3 linked regions of the Arabidopsis thaliana genome follow. The protein of the gene in region 3 interacts with the protein of the main gene of each other region in a pairwise test. Each region holds a gene or a part of one and is shown on either strand. Other genes may lie near its edges.

The links.
Region 1: the proteins of AT2G20110 (region 3) and AT2G33710 interact in a two-hybrid assay, tested with the Arabidopsis thaliana proteins (one large-scale study listed by BioGRID).
Region 2: the proteins of AT2G20110 (region 3) and NAC066 interact in a two-hybrid assay, tested with the Arabidopsis thaliana proteins (one large-scale study listed by BioGRID).

Annotation. Positions count from the first base shown.
Region 1 is NC_003071.7:14,258,524-14,262,283, forward strand, and holds AT2G33710 (Integrase-type DNA-binding superfamily protein), read right to left. Parts: upstream 2,217-3,760; 5' UTR 2,130-2,216; coding exon 1,949-2,129; intron 1,224-1,948; coding exon 784-1,223; coding exon of another isoform or gene 748-783; exon of another isoform or gene 517-747; coding exon 442-516; 3' UTR 286-441; downstream 1-285.
Region 2 is NC_003074.8:22,928,820-22,932,579, forward strand, and holds NAC066 (NAC domain protein 66), read right to left. Parts: upstream 1,638-3,760; 5' UTR 1,589-1,637; coding exon 1,417-1,588; intron 1,207-1,416; coding exon 374-1,206; 3' UTR 187-373; downstream 1-186. UniProt on the Arabidopsis thaliana protein: Transcription activator of genes involved in biosynthesis of secondary walls. Together with NST1, required for the secondary cell wall thickening of the anther endocethium, which is necessary for anther dehiscence.
Region 3 is NC_003071.7:8,681,957-8,685,716, forward strand, and holds the start of AT2G20110 (Tesmin/TSO1-like CXC domain-containing protein), read left to right. Parts: upstream 1-2,160; 5' UTR 2,161-2,539; coding exon 2,540-2,823; intron 2,824-3,026; coding exon 3,027-3,134; intron 3,135-3,233; coding exon 3,234-3,411; intron 3,412-3,491; coding exon 3,492-3,760. UniProt on the Arabidopsis thaliana protein: Plays a role in development of both male and female reproductive tissues.

The sequences.
Region 1 (3,760 bases), 5.6 Mb from region 3:
TACTACATGTTTTGTTTTATACACTAGCAGTCGATATGTGTATCCTATATAATAATTTATTTATAATAATTTTACTTGAATCGTTTTTTAATCGTTTCATATGCAGACTGTTACCTAGTTTAGTTTCATTTTTATTTACCAACCATTTCATCATTCAACGCGTTGAAAAATATATGAGCATTGGATAATAAGACAGATATAAATGTAAGTACATATTTAAAAAAATTTAGCTTATGTTTTGGAAACTCGAACACCCTCATCATGTGTATACCCTCTATATTTGTTTTTGAACTTTTTTTTTTATCTCTTTCGTACGTGATACAAAAGGATAAACTAGCAAGCTACTTCGGAGTGGAAAGACATAAAGCACCATGTACGAGCTTTTTTCTACCTGATATACTCGACCCAACCTGATCCGACCGGTCCGGTCAACACATTATCTCATTTGATCGGTCGATCAGGTGAGGCATGTTGTTGTCTCCGTCGGTCATCTTCTGTGGATATAGTCGTCATGACCTATCAGGACGTTTTCCAAGCTAAGTAGTCTTCATCCCATTCTTGCATAGTCATGTTCAAAATTTATATATTTTTCATCCATAAGGCCTGATTCCTAGCTAAATCCACTCCATAGACTCTTTAAAGACTACCAAAATGAAGTCGTAAAGAGATTAAGCGCCTAAAATGATCAAAGCCGGAGGTCAATGCGTTTGATAACTTGGACGAAGAGATATTTATGCCATTAACATGTTATTTTCGTCGTTTGTGGATACTAATGTTCTTCACGTTTTCACCATCCTCCAAATTTGGTCTTAGCCCTTGATGATTCAAAGATGAAGACGAAGAAGACAGCATATTCATGGACAAGTTGGCACTGGAATCACTACTTCGAGATTGAAAGTGGCCATATTGATCAAGAAGTATGTCAGGAGCAATTGGTGGAGGTGGACTAGGTGGTGTCACGATAATGCGATCATGGGAAGTAGCGGGCGATGGATAGAGTTGAGTAGGGTTGACACGAATATGCTCGGGGAAGTTAAGCTTGGCCTTGTGACCTCTAAACTCAAATGCAGCTTTATCATACGCTAAGGCGGCTTCTTCTGCAGTGTCGAACGTCCCAAGCCACACACGAGCTGCCTTGTTCGGGTCACGAATCTCAGCCGCCCATTTTCCCCACGGTCTTTGCCTCACGCCTCTGTAGTTTCGTTGCCTCGAGTTACTTTTTTCTGTAGAAAAATGATGAAAATTGTAAGTTCACTCTTGTCATGAAAATGGTGACTTAAATGTGACGTGCATGTCTATGAATATAACGTATACTATCGGTGTAGAGGCATTTCGTAAAGATTATTAAAGGGCGTTTGAATCATATGATATGATCATTCTACATCAACTTTTATTCCCCTCTTCTACATCTACTTATGAAATCTATATATTAGGCCAAACCTACATTTATACATTCCTCTCTCTCGTAATTGGTAATTAACTATATATATACTTATGTATCACACCAATGATATAATTAGGATATAAATTAAGTTTGATCATTTTAAATACGTTTTCCCCATGTTACAATCCTAAAACTCTCTCTGGCTAGTTATCTCAACCAAAATACGACCATTGCAACCAAGCCTTGCCAATCATATTTGTCCGAAAGCCAAATATGATCAATTTTGTCCAACCAATAAAGCCGACAGGTTTTTTCAAGAAAATCTAACCATGAACATTCATTAAAAAAATCATATAGTAAATTGAACTAATGCATTGTGGCCATACATGAAATTATATCTCTATTTGATCAAGGCCATGCTGCAGCCACTAAAGGATTACCAATTGCAAAATCCAAGATTAAATCATTCCTATGTGTAAAGAGAATCACCAATGGAAAAGACAATCACTCGAGTTATAAAGTATAGCAATTAAAATTATTGGAAAAAGGATCTGATGAAATTACCTTGAAGAGTAAGCGACGAAGATTGATCATCAATGGATGATGGGATGGGTTGACCAGTGAGTTCAGAGACAAAATCAGACACATCAGATTCCGACAAAGTTGAGCAACAACACAACTCTTTTTTCTCTTCTCTATTTCCGGCCATTGATTCTGGTGATAGAGGTCTCTTCCCGCTATGCATTATCCGATGATGTCAATTATGATTATTTTTATTTTATTTTTGAAGTCAAAGATGGGTTTGGGTACAAGCCAAAGAACCAGCAAAGATGTCTATTCTCTGCATCTATGTTATATATAGACGCACACGCATGTATTTGTTGACCAATATTATAGAGAGTTTGTCTAACCTAGAGGATATTTTGGTCATAAACATTACACACACTTTTTTGTTCCTTAAAAACAATTCTTTGTATTCATCTCTTTAATTTTCCTTAACAAACGTTACATTACGGACTGCATCGACCGACCCACTATGTAGTTGTATTAATGGTTTGTGTTAACCCAAAATCGATTGCGTGTCTCAAAAGACGAAAAAAAAAACGACTGTCTTATACAAAATTCATTAATTATGATCCAAGTCTTGTGTTAATTACGGTCAACATTTTAAGTTAAAATTAATTATTTATTATATATGTGGTGGATTTAAATAATTATTTTCATCCTGAACATTAAAGGGTTAATAATTTACCTAAATGACTCACCAAAAAATTAATTTACCTAAATGACCATGATGAATATCTAATTATTTAGGTAAATGAGCAAATGACAAACATATAATCAAAGAAACACTTTAATATATATAAACATGTAAACACCAATTATTTAGGTAAATAATGTATTTTCTATCATTTGACTTTAATGTCTTTATATATATATATATATATATATATATAGATACATATGTGTTTTGCACAATCATTTTATTTTAATAAACAACGTACTGTATAAATCACATAAATAAAATAGCATAATATTTTTGCTAATTAAAAGTCGCTTATGTCATCCAATACAGTTGAGTGTGTTTTTAAATTGTTTTATGTAATATATAAAAGTTCATGGTTAATTAGGATGAATATTCAAAATTAAAGGACAAACTCTGTTTCTATTCGCTACATATATAGTTTTACGGAATACACTCTGCACAAGTCATCATAAAACAACTGGAATGGAATATGCGATGAATCTCTTTAATAATAATATGTGGGATCTGACTGTGGATTCTAATCTAATATTTCTATTATAAGCAATTTGGACGATTCGTGCCATTTTAAAAATGGTTGAGGGATTTTTTTATGGGGTTGAATATTGTCATTGCGCCTTATCAGAAACACAAAAACAAAAAAAATATTGTCATTACATGCATGATGTTGATGAATTATTTTTCAATCATATAAACTTGTGGTTGAAGAAAAAGCACAATATTTAACAAACAAAAACATAACCTGAAACAATATAAACTTACTTTCTAAATTAATAAAACATTTGACCGAATGGGGAATCTAAAAGTGTGTCATATAAGATATTGATTTAAAGACCTAGATGACGTATGGGCTTACATAATATGTGGTCAACATTGAATATTATAGTCAGAGCAAACTTCGCACGAACAAATCAACTCCAATCTCACACCAATAGCATAAGACCATGCCGTAGTCTATATGATTGCCACAAAAGAATTATTCTTATTGGCCAACTTTGACCTAGTGTTATATTTGTATTTATATCTTTTAATTAAGTATTTATTGAATTATGTATATACATTGATTGTTGCATTCATCTTTTTTACTTAGTATGCCATCTATTCAATTAGAT
Region 2 (3,760 bases), on a different chromosome or scaffold from region 3:
GTAATTAGAAAACACCCGGCGATGCATGTGACAGACTATGATTTCTTACAGTAGAAAATGTAATTGCCTTTTTGTTCATCGAATGGCAATTAAGTTTCAAAAAGACAAAAACTAATATTCTTGATCCAAAGAAATTCAACTATGCAACCAATTCTTTTCTATAAAGTTAATCATGATATAAAATGTACACAGATATAGAGAACTTTTATTTTCTGTAATGATATCACATAACTACGTACTGTAATTATCACAATCTGACCATTTATACCGTAAAAGTTTCAACAACTATATATATGGTATGATGATTATTATATCTTTCTACACAATGTTTTGGTATGTCACTCACTTAGTCACTTCCTCTCTTCCATTTCCGTTATCCACTACCGTTCAACAAGTGGCATGTCGTTCTCGCGAAATCTGCCTCGTTCCATAAATCAATCTCCGGTATATAGTAATCTGGTGTTAAACCGGTATTACAACCGGACCGGTTCAGTCCATGATACGGTGATTGTGAAGTCTCATTAACGGCTGGTATTGAATACGAGTTGGGCCCATTTAACTGTGAGGCAACGAGCCGATCCAAAGCGGCCCAGCTAGTGATGAAGCTGGGATCCATAACTTTGCTGACGTGGCAGTTGTTGACTTGGTCGTCGATTAACCACTGATAACTCGTGATGGTGGTGTTGTTATGGCATTCGAGGTTAGGGAGTTTTAAGAAAGGGTCTAAAACTATCTCTCCTTTACAAGATTGCCCCATAACTTCGAGAAGTTGCTCGATAGTCTCCTCATTGAACGACGGCGTTTTCACCGAACTCGCCGGGCTACTACTAATCATGTTTTTGCAAAGGTTATTTTTCTTGAAAACACGACACACCACCCATCCTTCGTCACTTCCTATGACATCACACGTTTCTACGTTGACGTCATGATCGCCACACGAGGAGATTAATACACTCTCGTCGAGTCTATATTCGTGCATGATCCAATCGGATTTCTGACCATGAGGGGCTCGACCTTTGTAGAAGACAAGCGTCTTTCGCATCCCGATTCTATCACCATTGGTATATATGGTCTTGTCACGTCCCGTCGCTTTCCAAAATCCGACCGTGGTGGCTCTGTTGGTTCTAGTCCCGGTGGGATACTTCTTGTCCTTATGGCTATAAAAGTACCAATCGTTTTGCGGCGTCGTTCCAATCTTACACATCTCTACATAGAAAAAACAAGAGTTGTGTTAAGTTTTGACTGAATTTTGTTACTGCAAATTTTATTATCACAAAAAGTATATATTACTCTGCAAAATTTCCTGAATTCAGAGCTTTAGTTCTTGACTCAACACATGCATTAAAAAACTAATTTAATTAATATATACAAGCCCTATTAATACGTTTCATCAAGAATAAAAGATAAATGATGAACCTTGAATATCCCAAGGCTCGAGCTTGTTGAGATCAATGTCAGGAATAACATCGAGATCGATCTTGATGTTAGAGATTTTCTTGCGGAGGTAATACTTCAAGAGCTCTTCCTCGGTTGGGTGAAACCTAAAGCCAGGAGGTACTTGTGACTGTCCGTTTACTGATATGTTCATTGCTAAAGATAGAAAAAGGAGAAGAAAATAGAACGAGTTTATAACTAACCAAAGTATGTCTATATATATGTGTATATTTTTTACATCAACTCTGCAAAAAAATAAATAATAGTACATGCATGAGAAAATGCATGTGTTCTTTTGCTCTCATATTTTTAATTCCTTTGTTAAGTTTTCTTTTTAACAGTGGAGTATTATTTTTCCGAATATTTGATGTTTTCATTATAAGTTCGCATGAGCCGCCACTTACAATTAAACATATGAGCCTCTAAGAGCTTGTTTTAATAATTTGAAAATGTCTGTTTTATACTCATAGTGAATGCACTTCTCGAAAAATTACTCCCTATGAGTTTTTACTTAATTCTTAGTTCATACCAAGTATATCCAGCCAAAACAAAAAAAAAAAAGTATATCGATCAAGCTTCTTCGGCCTTTGGTTTTGCCGACTTTTCGCTCTACTAATTGCCTAGATTAGCATGTTAGTTTTGTTTTGTTTTTGCTTTTATCCAGAAATCTCTCGTAATGGTTGATTCGTCATGAGTTCACCTAGTATTTAAAAATCTATCTATTTTTCTGCATGATTCAGTATCTCTTTAACAAAGAAAAAAAATATGATTCAGTAAATTAGATCCGTTATAAATACAATGTTGCAATATTTCATCTAATAAAAGTTATAGTAATGTCTCTCTTTTTTTTTTATTTTTTTTTGGGTCAAATATACTAATGGTCTCTTTATTAAACATCGAAATTATTTGCTCTTTTTGTCCGGTGAAATTGTTTATGGCAATTTCGGAATAGTGCGTGAGAGAGAGCGGTGGGACCATGCACGTAGCTATTGGGTAAAAATATGGTCCACGCGGGATCCACATATCAACTATAATGTAGGAAGCAAGCCCACATCGCTCCGATGACCCTCGACCTTAAAAATCTCTATGGACAAGACATTCCTCATTTTATTTTTATTTTATATAGAAACGAATAGTGTTAACAAAAAAAGTGAATGAAGGGTGATGGCAACAAAAAATGTATGTGATGTGATGAAGAAAGACTTTATACATTATTGTGTTAAATACGACTTTAAAGCTCGTAGCTTGTTCTTGTTGAAGGTGATGCGAAGATAATGATATACTACATGATAATCCACAACCTCCTTAGAAGATGGAGAGAAAGAAAGAGATTAAGATCTGATTCAAGAAGCGTTTATCAAATATATGTGAAGTTAACATTGCAACGAATGTCTAAGATTCGAATATTGTGCATGTGGTTCACTCGAACTAATCATAAAGTTAACCTATCTGGTATTCAGGAAACGACGGTGGATTCGATTCATCCAAATTAAAATTTTAAATTATTGTATTAATTTAAACTTGAATGACGGCATGAATCTAGATGAACAGTTGTTTACAACTGTAAGCGAGGAGGTATCTACGTATGTTGTAGATTTTGTGGGGGCCTATTTACAAAAGGTTATTTTCTGAATTTCCTTTTTCTTACACATGGTTTTGAGATTATAATAGATTAATACGCAAGGGCCGTTCAAATTTGCCATGTGCTATAGGATAACATTGTTAATAAAAAATTAAATCATGAGATTAAAATTTTGAGTTAATGAATATTCTGAAATGTCTTTTTCATTTTTCTAACATGGTTCTGAGTTTATAGCAGAGTAATATATAATCTGATTAAAACGAACGTTGTTGCGGCACGGAGCTATGATAAATTGATGATAATTAGTGACAAAAAACTAAAATGATATAATTGAAGTATTACAAATCGTAATTTTTCTAGAAGATGAAGGAAGTTTGCATGGGAAGCAATCTTAATTTGAGGTGTTTCAAAATTTATTAAACCCTTAATGGTGAGACGTCATATAACTATATATATTAGCACTCGTGCTTGTCGGACTTATAACTTTAGCCTAATCTTAAACTGTTTCTGGCCAGCTTTGTGTCATTGGGCCTGAAATAAAAGAGTTTCTCCCTTTTGTTTTGCTCTTCTAGACTTTTGGCATTGAATAGGGAAGATTAAATAATCTCTAACTACGAGTCTACGACTTCATAAATTAATTGTTTCATGAGAGATAACAATGATATTTCAAATATATCTACGTTGATAAACTTATATAATCGTTCCAAGTCTTCAATGAATACGGAAATCAACATACTAATTTAA
Region 3 (3,760 bases):
TTGGCGTTTGGCCTTTGAGCATTTTCAGTTGACGAGTATGAGATGGCTTGTTGAATCATGTTTTTCTTACTTTAATAGGAAACTTTATTTATTCTCTTAATGTATATGTTGGTTCTATTTTAATTTTATTATTGTTATAATAGAATGGTTAAACAGTTAAAGATGTTTTCATACTAACTTCATCACTAGGTTTAATCGTTTAAGATGTTTTAAAGAAGCAAGAAATGTTGTCTTCGGAAAGAAAACAGATGTACTTATAGATACTTTCTGTTCCCAATAATTTAGAGACTAATGATTTCTTTTATAAATTGTCCTAATCAAAGTTTCGTTTGTTTTAGTTGTCTTTTTAGATTTCTCGTGCATGGTCTCAGCTCAGTTTATTTTTAGACACTTCAGACATCTCACCATGGTATTGGAATTGGTAGTGCTCAATTGGTGGGTTTATTATAAGCCCTTTGCTCCATCACTATAATTGGGTTTATGGACTTTGAATTAAATTCTACAGGCCCATGGGTTTATGGATATTGTTTTCAGCACATGTCAAATGTCAATATATGAAAAATTCAATGTGGAGAAACTTCTGGTGGCTTCATAAAGAGTAAGACTGCATTTCCTGATAGTAGTAGTGTACTGGTGTGGATGCAGATAACGTTATTAGAAATCAAAATTGAAAAGGTAGCTATTTTTAGGTCACATATTGTATCATTAATAGTCATTGTTCAATGATGAAATAATGAAAGACTAAAACTCTTGGATTGAGTCTTAGAGATCTATAATGTAACTTAGGGCATTAGCTTAGCCTTAATTTCACATGGTCAGTGCTTTAGTGTTGTGCAAATGAACTTGAGGAAGAAGCATTAGTTGGATTGAAGTTTTATTAGTATGCTTATATATACTTTTGTAATTCCTCATATAGTGAAGTGTCCTTCAACGTATTAAAACATAAAATATAAAATGGTTTGAGACTTGTAATATCTTTTATTTTCATGCAAATTTTTTTTTAAAAACTTTTATAAGAACAAACTTAGCAGTTGGTCTCTAGCACAATGAGTTTATTGTAGAATTTTGTGGAATCAAATTTAAGATTTAATTAACCTGAAAATAAGTTTAATAGATTTGTGACATCAAATTTTTAAAATGGAATCACAGTCTTACGTTTTCATTCCATCTCTAAAGTATGAAGGAAACCTGTAATGAAGCTTCCATGCCACCTAAGTTGTACAAAGTTCTTATCTAGCCTAATGAATAAAACCTAAAAATTAAACCAACTACAAAAGTTCAAACATGAAAAGCACATAGGAAAGGATCTAATCCCGATGTCGAACATCATAGTTCACTCATATGATTTTCAGTTTTCGTTGGTCTTGTGTGTTTTAAGTCTTTTTAAGTCTTGTGTGTTTATTGGTACCAAAAAATTAAATATTCTTCTAAAATTTACGTATCTAATTAAAAGAGAAAATATATATAATAAATCTTTTAACTATTGGTAATAAGTGTTAAAACAAATCTCAACTTTATAATAGAGTAAATATCAATGTTCTTTTTGTTGACCACGCAAAATAGACCTGAAATTAGTCAACTTTAACTATACTATTGTATTAACTAAATGTTAATTTTTAGTTATCAATTTATTATTTTGAGAAGATAATCAAACTGTTAACTAAAAATAAAAGTCACTTTCAGTTTCTATAAATCCCCAAAAATCAATTATAAACCCAAACTCTTCCTCACTTCATGTTTAAAGTTTAAACCAAAAAAAAAAAAAAAAACTCTTCAAAATCCTGATTTTGGGGAAGAACATAGATTCGCAAATCGATTCCTCTTCATCACGCAACATCAACAAAATAGTCAGTTTCGATTCCTTTTCTTACTTAGATTTTTTGTTTTTGTTTTTGAATATTTAAAACTATTGGGGCATTTTCGTGAGTAACTTAATAATTTGGGCCAAAACCGTTATTTTAAAACATTACTTCTCTATTATGTAGTAGTCACGAGTGATCGGATCGGACGGTGAACGATCGACGAAACTTCAAACCTTATATGAATAGTAATCGTCAGATCAACGTATTTAATAACAACCGTACGATCAAAATGTCTGTGAAATCTAACCGTCGAATATAATCCAGAAAATTGAAATTTCAAAACATGTATAAGAGAGGGAGGAGCAGCTCTCGCGAAGACGAAGAAGAAGAAGAAAAACCCCAAATTTCTCTGTTTTTTTTCGTTGGGTGGTTCCTCAGTGGTTACCAAATCTCTCTTCTTCTTCTTCGTCAGAAGCTAAAACCTTTCAAAACCCTAATTTCATCTATCTATCTCAATAAGTCTAGATCAAAAATTCGAATTTCAAAATCCCGTTTTGAGTTTTAGTAGATTCGGTTTCTGGGTTTTCGTAGAAACGGGATTAAGGGCGGATTCAGATCTTGAAATTTTTGTGTGTTTCTCAAACTGATTATAAATTTTGGTTTTTTTTTTTAAATTTCGTGTTTGAAAAATAGGGAAAATTTCTGGGTTTCTTCTGAGAAATTCGAATTTTTTGGAGATGGGAGAAGGTGAAGAAGGAGACAAATTCCCGCCAAAAACGGATGAGGTTACACAAGAGTCTATGAAGTCGGCGAGGCAACTCGATTTTACTGGTGGTTCTTCCGATGTTGAGCATTCACACTCTAATCAAGCTTCTTCGATGGCTGCTGCATCAATCCCTTCACCGATTGTGACGGTTACGCGGCCAATAATTACCAGTCAGGCACCACCGACGGTGGCGACTCCGATTCCACCGCCGCCACAATCTCAGGGCATCATCCTTCACGTCCCAATTAGACATCCGTAAGTTTCTCTCTTATTCAAAAATTTGAACTTTTGGGAAGTTGATAGAGATGTGTTTCTATGTTGCTGAAGTCAGATTTGGGGATTAAAGCATAGATCTTTACATTGATTTGAAAAGATTATTGAAATTGACATTTTGATTTTCATAGTGAATAAGGCAAGGTTTGAATTTCTAGAGTTGACACTTGTTTTTGTAATTGCAGGAGGCCCGAATCTCCGAATTCGATGCCAAGGCCTGCTGGGGAAACTAGAGATGGAACCCCTCAGAAGAAGAAACAGTGTAACTGTAAACACTCACGGTGCTTGAAGCTGTAAGTCTCTCATCATACCATTTGATGACAAAACTCTTTGTTTCTTTGTGGACTTGTTCATTGTGAATTGAACACTGTACAATGTCTTTTTTTGATCAGGTATTGTGAATGTTTTGCATCTGGCACTTACTGTGATGGTTGCAACTGTGTAAATTGTTTCAACAACGTTGAAAATGAACCTGCGAGACGACAAGCGGTTGAATCAACTCTGGAACGGAATCCGAATGCGTTCAGGCCAAAGATTGCTGCTAGTCCACATGGTGGACGAGATAACAGGGTATGTGGTTTGTGTTATGCTCTTTAAACTGTTGGTCTTAAGGTTGTTGGATAAGTTATAAATTTTGACTCGATTTGCAGGAGGAGGTTGGTGACGTTGTGATGTTAGCGAGACACAACAAAGGCTGTCACTGCAAGAAATCCGGATGTCTTAAGAAGTATTGTGAGTGCTTTCAAGCAAACATTCTTTGTTCTGAGAACTGCAAATGCTTGGATTGCAAAAACTTTGAAGGGAGTGAAGTTAGACAATCTCTTTTTCACGGTGAACATTCCCACAACTTGGCTTATCTTCAACACGCAAATGCTGCCATAACCGGAGCTATTGGTTCCTCTGGCTTTGCATCTGCTCC